Linked DNA regions of Alligator mississippiensis. The protein of the gene in region 1 purifies or fractionates together with the protein of each later gene. This does not show direct contact. Links are inferred from orthologs where the notes say so. Each region holds a gene or a part of one and is shown on either strand. Other genes may lie near its edges.

Region 1 (7,440 bases):
TATAATGGGGAAGGTCAAAACAGCCTATAACTTTGTCATTTCTGGCCAGATTTGGATAAAACTTGCAGAAATGGTAGCCCCTTCTGAGGGCATAAAGCGTGGCAAGTTTCAGGAAGATAGGTGGAGGGGGTTTGGAGAAACTGCACCCCAAAATCCTGAAAGCGAAACTCATGTCGTGTATGTGTTGATCCGCAGTAGGGTCAAACCTGCAGGCATGCTAGCCCCTGCTGAGGCCACAAAGCCTGCTAAGTTTCAAGGAGATAAGTACAGGGGTTTGAGGGAAACTGCACCTCAAGCTGTGGACAAGCAGAACTCATGACATGGGTGACCCTGTGTGTGCTAAGGCACAGCAGGGTGGAAGCTGCAGGGACGGTAGCCCCTGCTGCGGCCATGATGCCTGCCAGCTGTCTAGATCGGTGCAGGGGTTCTGGGGCCCCTGCACCCCTAGCTGCTGACAGGCAAATCTCATGACATGGGTGCTTGTGCAACCGCTGCCTCTCATCAGGCAGGAGGACCAAAGATCCCCCATCACTTGCCACCACAGACCTGGGGTTAATAATTGACCACAGTATGAACATGAGCCAGCAGTGCGATGCTGTAGGCAGCAGGGCCAACAATACACTGGCATGCATCAATTGATGCATCTTCAGCAAAACCATTGCAAAGAAGTGATTCTCATGCTCTGCTCGGCTCTTCTCAGCACTGGTGAGACCTCAGCTGGAGTGCTGTGTCCAGTTCTGGGCTCTGCACCTTAGCAAGGACGTGGTAAAGCTTGAGAGAGTCCAGAGGAGGGCTACCCATATGATCAGAGACTTTCATGGTAAGCCATACAAGGAAAGGCTGAGGGACCTAGGACTCTTCAGCCTGAAGAAGAGAAGGCTGAGAGGGGACCTGGTAGCAGCTTACCACTACACTAGGGGAGTACATCTAGGGCTCAGTGAACAAGTGTTCACCAGGGCACGTACATCTAGGGCTCGGTGAACTGTTCACCAGGGCATCCTTGGTGAAAACCAGGAGTAACGGTTACAGTGTGGACACCCTAGTTGTGAAGTCGTTTTTCCTAACATTGAGCCTGAAACAATCTTCCAGGAGTTTGGGACCATTCCTATCCTACGGGTGAAACATTGAAACGGCAAAACGTTTTGACGGAACAAAATGGAACAGCTGTTTCGACTCGAAACACAAGTCGAAACAAAATGCTGTTCTGTCGAAACAACGCTTCTGTTTCGCACAGCCCTAGTCAGGAGCTCTGGCTTCTGATACCGGCCTCACCAAACCTCTTCCTGCCTCTGCACCTCTCAGGAGGCATGGAGGTATGTGTCCTCTTGTTGGAGCCATGGCTGCTGCAGTGCCCAGCAGCCCTCCCTGAAAGTTGCTGCTGGACAGTGCTAGCACCTGCGGCAGCTCTGCCTCCCATCTCTGAGAGAACTTGCAGCACGTCCTGCAGGCAGGCAGCCTGGACCCTTCACACCTGGCAGCAGAAGCAGGTTCTGCAGCCAGGGCCCAGCGTGGAGCTCCTGCTGTTTGGATGTGGTGAGTTCCCCCTGACAGGGACAGCAGCAGCTCGAGGGGCTCTGAGCCGCATAGGGCCCTGCAGGTCAGACTAACAGCTTAGGATCCACCTGGAAATTGGGTGGCATCCAGTGCAGCTCATGGAGTGGGAGCATCACGTGCCACTTGCAGAGCTACAGCCCACCTACCTGCCCTCAGGTCCACGGGCTGACCCTGGGTGGGGGTCAGAACTCTCCATCCTGCTGATGTGCTGAAGGGAAGGAAATGGGCTTCGCGCAGCTTTCCCGCTGCTCCTGCCAGCATCGCCATGCCCTCGTGTGCCCCCAGCTCCAGCCAGCTTGCTCCCTAGGCACCGAGCCAGGCATCCCACAGCAATGGTCGGATCCGAGGAGGCAGCAGCAGCTGCAAACCTCCCCCACCAGTAGTACTGGCCTCGAGTCCTCCGCTGGGCGTGTGGGATGTTTGTTTCTGGCTTTTCAGCTATTCAAGAAAAGAACCATGGCTGCCTGTCTCCCCAGAGTTACAGCACAAACACACGCTTTTCCTTCTTTGTTCGTTACTTTTGTAACTTTCTCATCCCAAATTGTCCAATCCTTGGGTCCCATACCGTATCTTTTTAAATAAGGTACTCCAATCCTACTCGGTTTTTGGTTTCGTTTTCTTTTAGGGAAACTTGTACCTGGTTTCGCTGACTGTACCAATCGCAGCACTCACTGTTTCCAGTGCCTTATATAAGGCACTTTGTACAATTGCATTGCTTAGTTCTGGGAGGGCCTCGACCGTGGCTAATAGCCATAGCATAACTCAGTTTGCCTGCTACGCTGCTGTGCTGCCGTCTGAGCCTGGTGTGATGACCAAAGCAGGTGCTCTGCAGCTTTAGCTTTAGCTACAAGTTCTGCTCTAGGCTCTAGTGGAAGGCTGCCCCAGCTGCCCTGGTTTGGTATGTGGGCATCTGGGTTGAGGACCAGCAGCAACAGTCCTACTGGCTAGGACCAGTTGGCCTTAGGCTGGCCTCATGGGCTACCAAGGCCTGGTCAACATGTGACTCAGCCCAGCTTTAGGGAATCCACTTGTCCCTGCAGACTGGAATATGCTGGTCCCAACAGAGTTAAATGTGTCAGGACTTAACGAGTGGCAGCAGAGAGACCGGATCTTTGTGCGGTCAGGGGGCCTGCCCGTAGCTGTCTCTGCTTCTAGCATGCCGACGGGCTGGAGGGGGCTGGTGTGGGGTTGTGTCATGTCTGGTGAGATCCCCCTCCTTGGTGCGTGCAGGGAGCGTGTTTTCCCTGGCGTGTGCAGCACCCTGCTCGGGGGCTGGGAGGCATGTCGGGGGGGGCCCAGGCTGCTGTTACCCCACAGCCATGCAGAGCTGCCTGCAGCTGGAGCGATTCCAGGGGGCTGGGCCGTGGGCACACACGAGCTCCTCTGCAAGGGCAGCATCAAACCGCTGCACAGTCAGCCCCAGGAGCCGGCTCTACACTGATCCTCCCAGCTCAGATCTGGTGCCTGTCACCTGGACGCCTCTTCCTATTGGACTGGCTCCTCTGTGGGCTTGAAGTCTCTTCTCCCTGGTAGCCAGGCCCTGGGTGGGGCACAGACCCCAGGGCCTGGCCCTTTTCCCCTCCAGCCTGCACTTGCAGAGCCTGTGAACTGAGCGGCAGCACTTCCAACGCACGGTGCCTCCAGCCGGCCCCACGACCACCCACGAGAGGGAGCTGCAGGCCTGGCAGAGAACAGACGTCCCCTCGTGCACCCGTGCGAGGCAGTCCCCAGCTGATGGTGCTGCTGCAGCGGGGCTCTGGAAGAGCCTGTGCCCGGCTGTAAGGGCCCTGCTTGGCCTCGAAGAGCCCTCGCATTTCTGTCGCTGCAGGAAAGCTACCGCTGGAATCTGTTTCTGCGGTGCCAGCGCTGCGGAAATGCCCGAGACACGGCCCCGGGGGAGCAGAGCGGAGATGGGAACGGCTTATTCCAGCATTGGCAGCGCAGGTCAGGCTAACAGCCTGGGACCCAGCTGGAAACCAGGTGGCATCCAGCGCAGCTCACGGAAGAGGAGCATCCCCTGCCACTTGCAGAGACACCTGCCGCAGCCGCCGGCCCTCGGCGGGAGCTGTGGGGCAAAGAGGAGGGAGAGCCGGGCACCCGCGTGGGGGCATCCTCCTTGCAGGTAAAGCCTTTGCTGCCCCTGCGCCCGGAGTCGCCCATGGTTCGTCAGGATGAAGGCCGGGGGCTGTTGCTGAGTTGGTTGAGTGCTAGAGCCGCGGGGCTGCAGGAGGCCTGCAGAGCAGGGGTCACGTCCAGCCCAGCCCGGGCCACCCCCCTGGCTGACTAGTCACCCTGACAGCCCCGGGCGTCGCACCCGAGCCCACCACGGGCAGCAGGGGCCGCGGCAGCCAACGTCCCGCTGCAAAGGGGGCCAGAGGTGCTCAGTGGACCCAGGCAGGACTGTGCCCCTGCTGCAGAGGGAGGCAAAAGCCCCCCATTTCGGACCAGTGTGAGCAGAGGGAAATCCCTGCCTGCCCCAGTGCAGCAGCAGAGGGCCTGGTGGGGGCACGGGACCGCCTGGCCCCTTCCCCGCGCCGGGCGGCCCATGGCAGGCGCACGACCTGCGCCATCCTCAGCCCCCGCTGTGCGCGCGGGGGACGCCCGCTAGGGGGAGCCGCTGCTCCGCGCCGGAGGCGCCGCTTGCGTCACAGGAGTAGGGGCGGGGGCGGGTCGCTCTTCGCGCATGCGCCCTCGCGGCCCGCCTTCGCGCACGCGCATGCTGTTCGGCGGGCTCGCCACGGGCCGAGTGCGCATGCGTGTTCGCCCCTCACCGGAAGTGGTCGCCGTGTTGCGGCGGGGAGGCCTGGCGGCGGCAGTGGTGAGAGCGGGCTCTGAGCACGCTTCCCGGGGCCCCGCGGCTGTCTCCGCGGCTGTCACCCGGGGGGGGGGCGGGTACGGGCGGCGCCATTGCCCCGCCGGGGGGTGGTGGCGGGAGGTTCCATTCATGCCCCGGGCCCCGCGGATGTCCTGCGGGGGTCCGGGAGGTTCCACTCATTCCCGGGGCGGTTCCATTGATCCGGGGGGGGGGGGGGGGTCGAGCGGTTCCACTGTTCGTTGGGGGGGGTCCCTCGGACGGTTCCATTAATCCGGGAGGGGGGTGGGGCTCGAGCGGTTCCATTGATTCATGGGGGCTCTTCAGGCGGTCCCATGGATCCGTGGGGGGGGGGGGATCTTGGGCGGTTCCATTGTTCAGGGGGTCCCTCCGGCCGTTCCATTGATGGGGGGGTCCTCGGGCGGTTCCATCGGTCGGGGCCCCTGGCGCTGGTGACTCCCGCCCCAGGCGCCTGCTCCCTGGCCAGTGCATGGCCGTGCTCTGCTGTGGGGGTTGCCCCCTCCCCCCTTCCTGCTACGTGGGAGGGGGTTAAGCCCCTGTGGGAGGCTTGCTGGCTGCAGTCGGGGCCGGGCTGTGCCCATGCTCCTGCGGGGCCCTGGCTGGAGGGTCTCGCCCCACGCTGCGCTGGGCTCGGGATCAATCCCCCCGTGCTCCGACTGCGTGTGATAGCGGCGGGACGCGCGGTGCCGGGTCCCCTGCTTTACGCGTGGCGGGTTCGGCCGTCCGGTTTAGCTGGCGGGTTTGCGCGGGGCCGAGCCTGCCTCGGGCGGGGGTTGGACTGGACCTGACATCTGCTCCCTTCCCCCCCCCCCCCCCCCCCCCCCCCCCCGCTGCTTTAGGATTTCTATAAATTGCGATAATATTTTTCCATAATGGGGGGAAAAAGTGAATGGGAGCGGAGATCTGGCATCTTCCAGGGGGGCCTTGAGTCTCTCTCGAGTCTGCGGAGGCTGAGAACCGCTGATCTGTAATTGGCAGGGTCCTAGGGAAGCTGAGCTGAGAGGCACCTCATGGGGTCCCATCAAGTCCGGCCCCTGCTAACCCCCCCCGGCACAGGTCTGTGCACCCTGCTCTTGAACACGTCGGAGGATGGGGAGCTCACAGCATCTGTTAGTCTGTCCCAGGGCCTGACCCCCCCGAGTCTGCAAGTTCCTCCTCGTCTCCAGCCTCAGTTTCCCCAGCAGCCGCTTGAGCCCGTTGCTCCTAGCCCTGCCCCCACGGAGAAGAGCCCACCTCCATCCTCCCTGTCATCGCCTTTCAGGGATTTGCAAACTGATCAAACCCCCCTCCAGCCTTCTCTTCTCCAGGCTAAATGCCCCCAGCTCTTTCAGCCTGTCCTCGCCAGCCTCGCCGCCCAGGCCCCGTCGTTTCTGTCACTCTCCCTGGACTCCGTCCAAACTGTCCCCGTCCTCCTCCAAGTGCGGAGCCCTAGGCTGGACACGGGGCCCCAAGGGAGGCCTCCCCGGTGCTGAACGGAGCAGAAGAATCGCCGGCCTTGATTTGCATGTTTGTACAGCTCAGGAGACAGCTTATTTTGCAGCGAGAGCGCACTGTTGGCTCCTATTCAGCTTATGGCCCACTCATTCCCAGGTCCCTCTCTGCAGCGCTGCAGCCCGGCCCCTCGCTCCCCCGTCTGTATTTGTGCGCGCCGGTTTTCCATCCCAAGTGCAGGACTTGGCACTTGTCCTTGCTGAATCTCGTCCGTTTGATTTCAGACCATTTCTCCAGCTGTTGGACGTATGCGTAAGGCTCGGGAGGTTTACAGTCCAAACAAAATAGGCTACAATGGGCAAATAAACCTAGCAGCGCTGGTTCTCTTCAGCTTCTGGCTCTCCTGTTGCATCTCCCACGGGCGACTGCTTGGGCTAAATGCAGGAGAATGATTGGCTCCAAATGTATCTGCAGCGCGTTATCTAATACCTCAGCATGTTTTAATTAAAGCATGTCTATTACTGCTTTGCATGACCATCTTCTCTCAGAATCCCTGGCCCTGAGCTTTGACAGCATCCAATTAAGTTATGACTGTAATTAAATTCTCCAGTCTGATTAGTTAAACACCTGTACAGCAGATTTTAAAAAGGGAGTTATGTGAAGCGGAGGCATTTGGGATGTCTGGGATTACTCTTCGCTTGCATGCCATATGGTTGTAAGTGCTGGAAACTGTCTGATGGCTCTCGGGCGAATGGCTGAAAGGCAGGGACTGTTTTCCTTCGTTTGTAGAGCATGTGGTAGCACTTTAGGCAACACAATATAAATACCTGATTTATGGATTAAAGCACCGTTGCCATTCCTGACTTCGGGTAGGTATTTCAACCATGTCCAGAGTCGGAGCATGTTGTGCTAAGCAGTGATTCCCCGCAGGCTGCTTGGCACGAGGCTAGGAACGAACAGACGAATCCCTCTAAGACAGCCTCATGAATCATGATTAAGAGATAATCACCAATTTGTGCTTTCCTTTGCAGTGTTGGAAGCAATGGAGAACTATAAAAAGAGCAAGATTGTGGAGAAGCCCTGTCCTCTGCCTTTCTCCAACCTGCCCTCAGACATTATCGAGATGAAGGTGAAGGACGGCAGCAAGATCAGAAACCTGATGGGCTATGCCATCGGCAAGATGGAGGCGGACGCTGTCAGGCAGATCCTTTTCACTGGCTCGGGCAAAGCTGTCGGCAAGACCATCACCTGCGTGGAAATCATGAAGCGGAGGCTCAAGGAACTCCACCAGGTCACCAAAGTGCTCTTCAGACAGATTGAAGAGATTTGGGAGCCCATCGTGCCCGAGGCGGGCCTCGACACCTTGACAGTGAAGAGGAACATCCCTGCCATATGCATCTTGCTGAGCAAAGATGCGCTCGATCCCCAAGAGCCTGGTTATCAGGCTCCAGGCTCTTTCGAGGCCTTCTGGATTGAGACGCTCGCGGCAGAATCCCAGGGCCAAATGAAGAGGAAGCAGGGGGCGGGCAGGGGGACCGGCAGCACAGGAAAGCACCCCAGATCTGTTGGCGAGCGTGGGGAGTCCTGCAAAAAGCCCTGAAGCAAAGACGTTCACAGAAGCA
Region 2 (8,058 bases), on another chromosome or scaffold:
TCTCCAAGCTGCCAGGCTGCATTCCTGGCTGTGTGCATGCTGAAGCTACAGGTGTGCACATGGTATTTATCGGTGGGTGACATAATCGGCCACATTGAACAAAAAAAGCTGATTGCCAATAATGTTTATTTTCCTTCTACTGGTGCTGATACGATATGGACTGATATATTGATGCACCTCTACTTAAGAGGTAGATTTAAGTTATCTCTAACTTGTGATACTATTAAACAAAGAAGTCCTTCAAGTTCCTACTTTGGTAAAATTCTTAGCTGTTTTAATAAGAGTTTTGCTTAAAGTAAGGACTGAAAACAATTACTACTATATTATATCCTATGAGTGATTAAATAGAATTAAATAGAAGTTGCTTTAATGACATTGTCTACAAATGTCATCATTTTATCACATTGTGCTCTGGTTTAAGACAGCCTCTGGAAATATACACAAACCTCTGAGAAGCTGAAATTCCTGATTTTAAATACAGTGACCAACTGCCCTGACTAAAAAGTTGTTAACTATTTTTTGTCATATACTCTTATGCAATTATTTTGACATCCATTTGCAAAAACAAGATTCCAGTGATGGGAGTTCAAATTATGAACTGAATGGTCAACACATTGGGCAGCAGGTAGCACAGGGAAGGGCAGCAGTCATGGGGATGCATGCTGGGCACCACACACCTAGCTAGGCAGGGGAAAAGTTGCAGATGGGTGGCTCCTGCCCCAGCACACAAGGCTCCAGCTCCGAGACACCTTCCACCCACGTGGCTTATCACACCAGGTGGGCAGAGTAGGTGGAAGGTGCCTGGGAGCTGGAGCCCTACACACTGGGGCAGGAGCTGCCCAGCAGCAGCTTCCCCCTGCCTGGTTGGGTGTGTGGTGCCCAGCAGGCATTCCCATGGCTGCTGTCTTTCCCTGTGCTACCTGCTGCCTGGAGCGGTATAGCAGGGGCAGCAGGAGGAGGAACTGGTAGAGACAGGGGGAACCAAGGAATACCTGGGCAGTTGCAGCCACACTAGGAGCAGTCCCACTGGGAAGCCGTGTGCATGCTGGCCCAGGCCAGATTGATTGACTCTATTTGTGGATAGTTTAAGGCCTCCATTATTTCTGTTTTCTGCTTTTGCAGTCTCAACTCCCTTAGCATTTCTACCTTGCTGCTTCTAGCCTGGTCTGGTGGGAGGGGAGAAGGGAGCTATACTTTTTCTATTGAAACTTAGCATTTCTAACCACAGAGGTCCTAGGGTACCTCTCTCATCAGTTAAAAAACAAATCTACCCTAATTGAGTCAATGCAGCATTTGATGTAGAGTTCCACTCCCCCACCAGTCCGATCTAGTACTGGGGTCGGCAATGTTTTTAGGCAGAGTGCCAAAAACACCTGCAACCTTGACTTGTAAGATGTTGGTGTGTCAGGGGCAGATGGTGGGGGAGCCATGGGGGCCCCTATCCTTGTTGTGGCAGTGCAGCCCCAGCCCATTCCCTGCTGTTCGCCCCAATGTGCGCATGCCAAACAAAATGACTTTGTGTGCCATACTCTGGCACTTGTGCCTGATGTAGTCTAGCTTTCTGTATAACTTGTATTTTGGTATTACATCTTCCAATTGATTTTCCTCACTTCACATTTCTGAGATATCTAGTATGGCAGTATTGTTATTTACTGCTAGGCAGTCAAGTTCCTCAGTCTTGGACCTTAGAATTCTGGCATTAGTATAAAAGCCAGAATCTTTTAAAAAAAATTATTGAAATAAGAATAGGAATACATAAGAATATAAATATAAATCTTTTTTATTGTTGCCTGGGTGGCCACTTGTATATGACAGTTTAATTAGTAAATCTATTTTTTCATGCTGTTCTCATATTTCACCTGCATACTTCTAGTCTGTTTCTTATGCTTATTGTTCACAGCTTCACCCCTATAGGGTGTTTCAATCTGAGCCCTATTCTGTACCTTTTAGCTCCCCATTTATTAGTTTCAAAGGTGTTCTACCACCTTTCTAATGTTTACCCCTTGTCAAGCCAGGACATAGGCAGCCAGGTCTGGGGGATCATCTATGGGTCAGAAACACAGCTGAGGTCTGAGGGGAGCAGGCCACATCAGAGGTAGGCAAGTCAGGAAGCCCGAAGATCCATCCAGGAAACATGTCAGAAATCCAGAGTCGAGCAGAACACAGGGCCAGGAGACTAGCTGGGTCACATATCCAGGAGATCAAACCAGAATTGGGTCAAATATCCAAAGGATCAGGCCAAGCTTGGGGTCCACAGGCCAGCCAGGTCAGGCCTGGAGACCGTCAGGAAACCAGTGGCAGCATGACCTGAAGGTACAACCCAGACACAGGACTGAACCTTATTGCTCTGACATTTCTTCTTCCAGGGCAGGGGTTTATATTGGAAGAGGTGAAGGGCCAGCTGACCTAGGCAGACCACTTTTCTGGCAGCGAGTGGGTATCTGCTAGGCCAGGGCTGGGCAAAATATGGCCCGTGGGCTGCATCCGACCTGCCAGGCCATTCGATCAGGCTTGCGGGCACCTCTAAAATTTAGATAATTATTACCTGCTGGAGGCTGCCTGTCTGAAAGCGGACTGCCCTACCCTGCCCCTTCCTCACCCCACAGAGCTTCTGGAGACCAGAAGCTCCTGGCTAGTAGAGAATTCTGCCCTGGCAACCCTGTGGCTGTTCCCCAGCCCTCCCTCATCCGAGAGTTGAAAGTCAGGTGAGAACTGGCGGGGGGAGAAGTACCACTGGAGATCGTCCCACTCTGTGGGGGTGGTGGGACTCTGGCTGTGTGCCTCCATGTGCCACTCCTGGCTAGAGTGCCAGGAGCACCGCGTGTAGGCATGGAGCTTGCTCAGCTTGATGGCATGTGACTTTCCATGGTTCTGGCACTCTAGTGTGCCACTGGGTCAGGCTAGGTCAGCTCCATGGCACACTGTGTGGGTCCTGGCCTTGCAACCAGGAACCATGTGCTGCTGGGAGGAGACAGGCTGAGCCAGGCCAGCTCCATGCTGTGCCATGTGGGCCCTGGACATGCAGAGCAGAACTGCATGCTGCTGGGATGGGCCAGGCCTGGCTGGGTTGTCTCTGTGCCACACTGTGTGGGTCCTAGGCTTTGCAGCCAGGACCTATATGCTGCATGGTGCAGCACAGAGCCAGCTGGTTCAGGCTGGCTCTGTGCTGCACCATGCAGGTCCCAGCCTTGGACCTGGGAACCATGCAGCGCAGCAGGGAGCCAGCCCAGCCCACCCTGTCCCCTCTTGGGCAGCATGTGGTTCTCCGCTGCATGCCCGGGATTCATGTGGCACAGCACAGAGGGTCTGGGCCAGGCTGGCTCTGTTCTGTGCCATGTGGGTCCTGGACTTGCAGCCAGAACTGTGTTGTGCCTGAATGGGTTGGGCCAGGCTGGCCTCATGTTGCACCATATGGGTTCCAGCCTTGTAGGCCGAAACTGCATGCTGCAGTCAGGATAGGATGCGCAGGGCTGGCTCTCCATCTCCCACCATACCCCCAACCCATACCAACACCCTCCCACAGCCCCCCACACACTCCCAGCCCCCTCACCCTTCACTATATCCACACACATACTTTCCCACACTCCCCCATCATACTCCCACACACTCTTACAGCCCCCCACTCCTACCATAATCACTCCACAACCACACAGCCCCCACATGTGTCCCCTTATCCCCCTCCCCCCTGACACAACATACAAGAGTAAGACTGTATTTTGAGCTATTATGCAATCACCTCTACACCAAAATACATACAACAGGGCAAAAATATTTTAATTTTATTTTAAAATATGTTATAGTAGATATTATTTGATTTTTTTTTTTTTTAGTATACGATTCGTTTTTTTCCAGTTTCACGATCGCAACCCCCACCCCTCCCAAAAAGGAGTACTTCATAGATTTCATAGACATTAGGGGCTGGAAGGGACCTCACAAGATCATTGAGTCCAGCCCACCTGCCATAGGCAGGAAGTCTGCTGGGGCCAAATGATCCCAGCAAGATAAGCATGCAAACGCCTTTTGAATGAGCCCAGAGTAGGTGCTTGCACCACCTCTGGGGGGAGTCTGTTCCAGACCTTGGACATTTGGACTGTAAAGAAGTTTTTCCTTCTGTCCAGTCTAAATCAGCCTTCCCGAAATTTGTGGCCGTTAGACCTTGTTATCCTTTGGGGGGGCCCTGGTGAACTGTTCTCCCAGTTCCTGGTGCACAACCCTTATATACTTCCATGGCAAGGGGAGGGACTTCTGGTGGCAAAGGTCAGGGGCAGGATTTCTGGTTCCAAGATGGTGACCAGGGGGCAGGGCACCTGTCAAAGGGCAGGGCTACCCTCACCACCCTCCTTAAGCAGCCCTCCAGCAGAAATAATTGCCCACCCCTTGCTAGGCCCAGCTAGAGGTTTCTGGCCACCTGCATCTGCCCCCTGTGCTGTTGGGAAGGTGGCAGCCTGGGGCCCAGGCAGGGCCCTGGGTGCCTGACACCCCCTGCCGGGAAGCAAAGAAACCCCCAGGCCCCCGCCTTCTTCGCCACAACAGCGGTTTGCTTTCCTTCTCTTAGTGCCGCTGGTTTCGGAGCTTTTCTTCTCGCCTGACAACGTTTCCTCTCGCCCTTGCTGACTGGTTGAGGGATGGGAGGGAGTTATCACCCGCCCCTGAAGTCAGCAGAGGCAGCGCAGGGAGGCACCGCATCAGCCTGCAGTTAGTCCCCAAGGAGTCACCTGCCCGCTGCCCCCGGCCAGGGGAAGCCTCTGTGCCTCCGGCTCCTTCAGAAGTGCTGGCGGCCCCCTCGCCGCACGCTGCAAAGCCCCGGGCTCCTTAGGCCAAGCCCAAGCTCCCGCTCGGAGCTGCGGGAGTCGGAGGGGCAGCGGCACAACCCGGCGCGCTTGGTTTCACCAATGCTTGTCCAGTCCCGGTTCCCGTCCAGTCCCCCGAGCCCACCCCGTCAGTCCCGCCCGGCTCCGCGGCATTGGGCAGCGCCCTGGCTTCCGGCAGCCAATGGACGCGCGGGACGTGCGGCGCTCCAGCCAATCCCGCGCGGCCTTGTTGCGGGGTGGGGCCGTTGCTCATCCCCTGCTAGTGCCAGCTCTGTGCCGGAGCCGTGGCAGTTGCCCCCTGGTCAGGCTCGCAGAGTAGCCTGGCTCCGCGCTGTCGCCACTGAGGATGAGCCCCCGTGAGGCCCAGCGCGCGGCCTGTTCCCCCCGCCCTGGCCCCGTCATCTAGCGACTGGTGAGGAGGCGGCGGGGGGGCTGCACGGGCCGGCGGAGTGGGGCGGGGCGGTCAGGTCCCCCCTCCACCTCCGGCGTCTTAACGGGCCGTAACCGCCCGGGCAGGAGCAGTGGCCCAGCGGCCGCCCCGGGGGCAGCGCTGGCGGCGCCGCTGCTCCTGCTCGTCTCTTTCCGCTGCTGTCCCTTGCGCCACGTCGTAAGCACTCCGGGAGCCTCCCCAGGCATAGGCGGGTTTCGGCTCCTGAAAAGGGGGTTCAGGTGCTGCGGTGCTGTCAGCACGTGTAAAACGACACACTTTTCTCCAGTATAAATAAGATCGAAGCTTTGCTAATGGTGGGAGGGGTCAGGTGGATTATTCCCTTTTAAGATGGAAATGAAAACGAATTGCTGAAGGAGTTACAAAGAGTGCAGAGGGCTGTGAAATAGCGTCTTTCCCAGAGTTAGCAAGCAGCCACAAAGGCCAGCCCCTGAGTACGTGGAGACGATTAAAAAGAAGAGGTTTGTTACCAGTGGTAGGATGAGTTTAGAAGGGATCAGGTAGGTTTATAATGATACATGAAGTCAAGTGTCTCCCTTGGCACTGCTGGGACAGAGTTCATGGTGCTGCTGCTAGGCACTAGGTTTTGAAGTTTCAGTGGAGCAGGAATCAAAGTGTAGGGGGAGGGTGCAAGTGCATTTCCCTGGATCCACCTCTTTTTCCTGCCCCCAGGCATTTGGTTTCACTTTGCTGGATGTTTGGTGAAGCATTTACCAGCTTGACTTCAGAGCTTCATGTTTCGGGTAGCACATCTGTAAATCTCCAATGACTGTACAGGGGATCTTTGAAATAATATTTGGGGTTCACAGATCTGACTTGTCAGCAGCATTGAGCAATTTGAATGTGAAGAGTTAAAGCAAAGGCCCAGCCCCTGGTCCTGGCAAATAATGGGAAGGGAAAACAGCTGTGCTTTTGTGTGAAGTCAGAATGGTTTTGACCATTTCCAGTTGTGCCATTGCTCTTTTTTGTTTTTAACTTAAAATTTCTCCATAGCTGTATCTTTTTTTAACTGGCTCATGGACTATGTATAAAGTGGAAGTCATTCCAGGATGATTTAAATGAGTGTTGTAATTTACATGAATGGCATTTTTATGTTTTGTTATGAATTAAATACAAACCTTTCTATCTATAGCGTGCATTAATAATTAAAAGGTTAACAAAGTGAGGAATGAACGTTGGATAAGGAGACTGGAGTTGCTGGGGTGCTGTTACTCTTTCTCCAACCACAGTTATGGCAGAAAGGAGACTTTATGCCAATGTGCTGCTTGGTGACAAAAACAATAATTGGAGCATGTTACCTGGCATTTTGAACTGTTTGTGTTATGATCAGAGAAACTTTAAGGTGAAATAAAACACTACTCTTAGGTAGCAAACGTACTTAGACTACCTTGGATTCATGTTTACTTAACCTGTTCTTAAAAATCTCAGTCATGGGGACTCTACAAACTCTATAGATAGCTTGTTCCAGTGCTTACGTAACCTCATAGTTAGAAAGTATTTCCTCAAGTCCAATGTAAATCTTCTTTGCTGCACATTAAGCTGATTACTTCTCATCCTATCTACAGTGAACCTGGAGGACGACTCATCACTCCTCTTTAATAGAACCCTTTCCATGTTTGACAGCTGCTGTGTCCTCAGTCTTTTCTCTTCTAGAGAGAAACTCAGTTCCTTCAACCTTTCTCTGTAGGTCATTGTTTTCTAAACCTCTTAACGCTCATTATTTTATCATTTGGACCCTCATCCATCTTAAAAAGTGGTGGTTGAACTGGCATGGTATTCTAGTTGAGGCATTACAGGTGCTGTGGAGATGATTCCTTCCCCCATGTGGTTGTATATACAACACTTTGGTTGAAGCATTCCAGAGTGAGGCTTGCTGGTATGTATTTTGCAACTTCACATTATTGGTAGCTCATATTCTCTTGCATGCAACTATTACCTTGACAGTTACTGCCCATTTTGCATATACACATTTGGTTTCTTTTTAAACGCACTTTTCTTGACCAAATTTCATTTGGCTGATCTTTGGATCATTTATCTAATTTTTCAAAATCATCTTGAGTTCAAGTCTTGTTCTCCGAAGTAGTTGCAGGTCATCCCTGCTTGGTCATTTACAAGTTTGGTAAGTGAACATGTTGTTCTGCAATCCAGGTTGTTGAAAATGTTGAATTGAATACTCCATTTGAGAGATCCTTGATAATTTTTCAATGAAAAATCATGTCCAAAGATCTGGTAATTTTTTTTAGTCTGTATTTTTCTGTTTATTTATAAGAACATCCTGTAGGGCGCAGTAGGACAGCTCAGCATTGGGATATAGTTGTTTCAAAATAAAGTCAGGATATATGCTGTAATTATTGTGTCCCTCTCTGGCTGCAATTTTGGTGATGATTATATGATCCCCCAGTAATAGGGAAGATGAGGGTTAAAGATTTGTATAAGTACTTTTTAATGATGTAGACTAAACTTTAAGGCTTGTTCTTTGGATTGCAGAGTATCAAAGCAGGTATTGTATTTATTACCAAATGACTTTAGAAAGTACGAATCATTCAACTAAAGGGGCTAAAACTGATGTTTATTTAAAGCTACACCTGAGCTCAGTTTGAATTTATAGGTAAAAATTCTTATAAAATGTTCTTATCAACAAAGCATTCTAATGACAGTCTGCAATGAGACTTGAGTCTGGAGCTTGCTCACTTACTTTCTGGTTGGGGCTGCCAACTCTGTGGAGACAGCTTAGCAGATATCAAAGGAAGGAGGGCAATGTGCTACTTCCTGTTCCTTTTCTTGAGGTAGATGTTCTTC

Evidence for each region. Proteins that work in one complex are often made in the same cells at the same time.
Region 2: the proteins of RPP25L (region 1) and IBTK purify together in Homo sapiens (co-immunoprecipitation; 3 studies listed by BioGRID and IntAct, with this or other methods). This does not show direct contact. The link is inferred for Alligator mississippiensis from reciprocal best matches to the Homo sapiens genes RPP25L and IBTK.

What each region holds. Positions count from the first base shown.
Region 1 is NC_081826.1:299,908,074-299,915,513, reverse strand, and holds the start of RPP25L (ribonuclease P protein subunit p25-like protein), read left to right. Parts: upstream 1-4,282; 5' UTR 4,283-4,372; intron 4,373-6,849; 5' UTR 6,850-6,860; coding exon 6,861-7,418; 3' UTR 7,419-7,440. UniProt on the Homo sapiens protein: May be a component of ribonuclease P or MRP.
Region 2 is NC_081824.1:71,274,261-71,282,318, reverse strand, and holds the start of IBTK (inhibitor of Bruton tyrosine kinase), read left to right. Parts: upstream 1-5,051; 5' UTR 5,052-5,223; intron 5,224-8,058. UniProt on the Homo sapiens protein: Acts as an inhibitor of BTK tyrosine kinase activity, thereby playing a role in B-cell development. Down-regulates BTK kinase activity, leading to interference with BTK-mediated calcium mobilization and NF-kappa-B-driven transcription.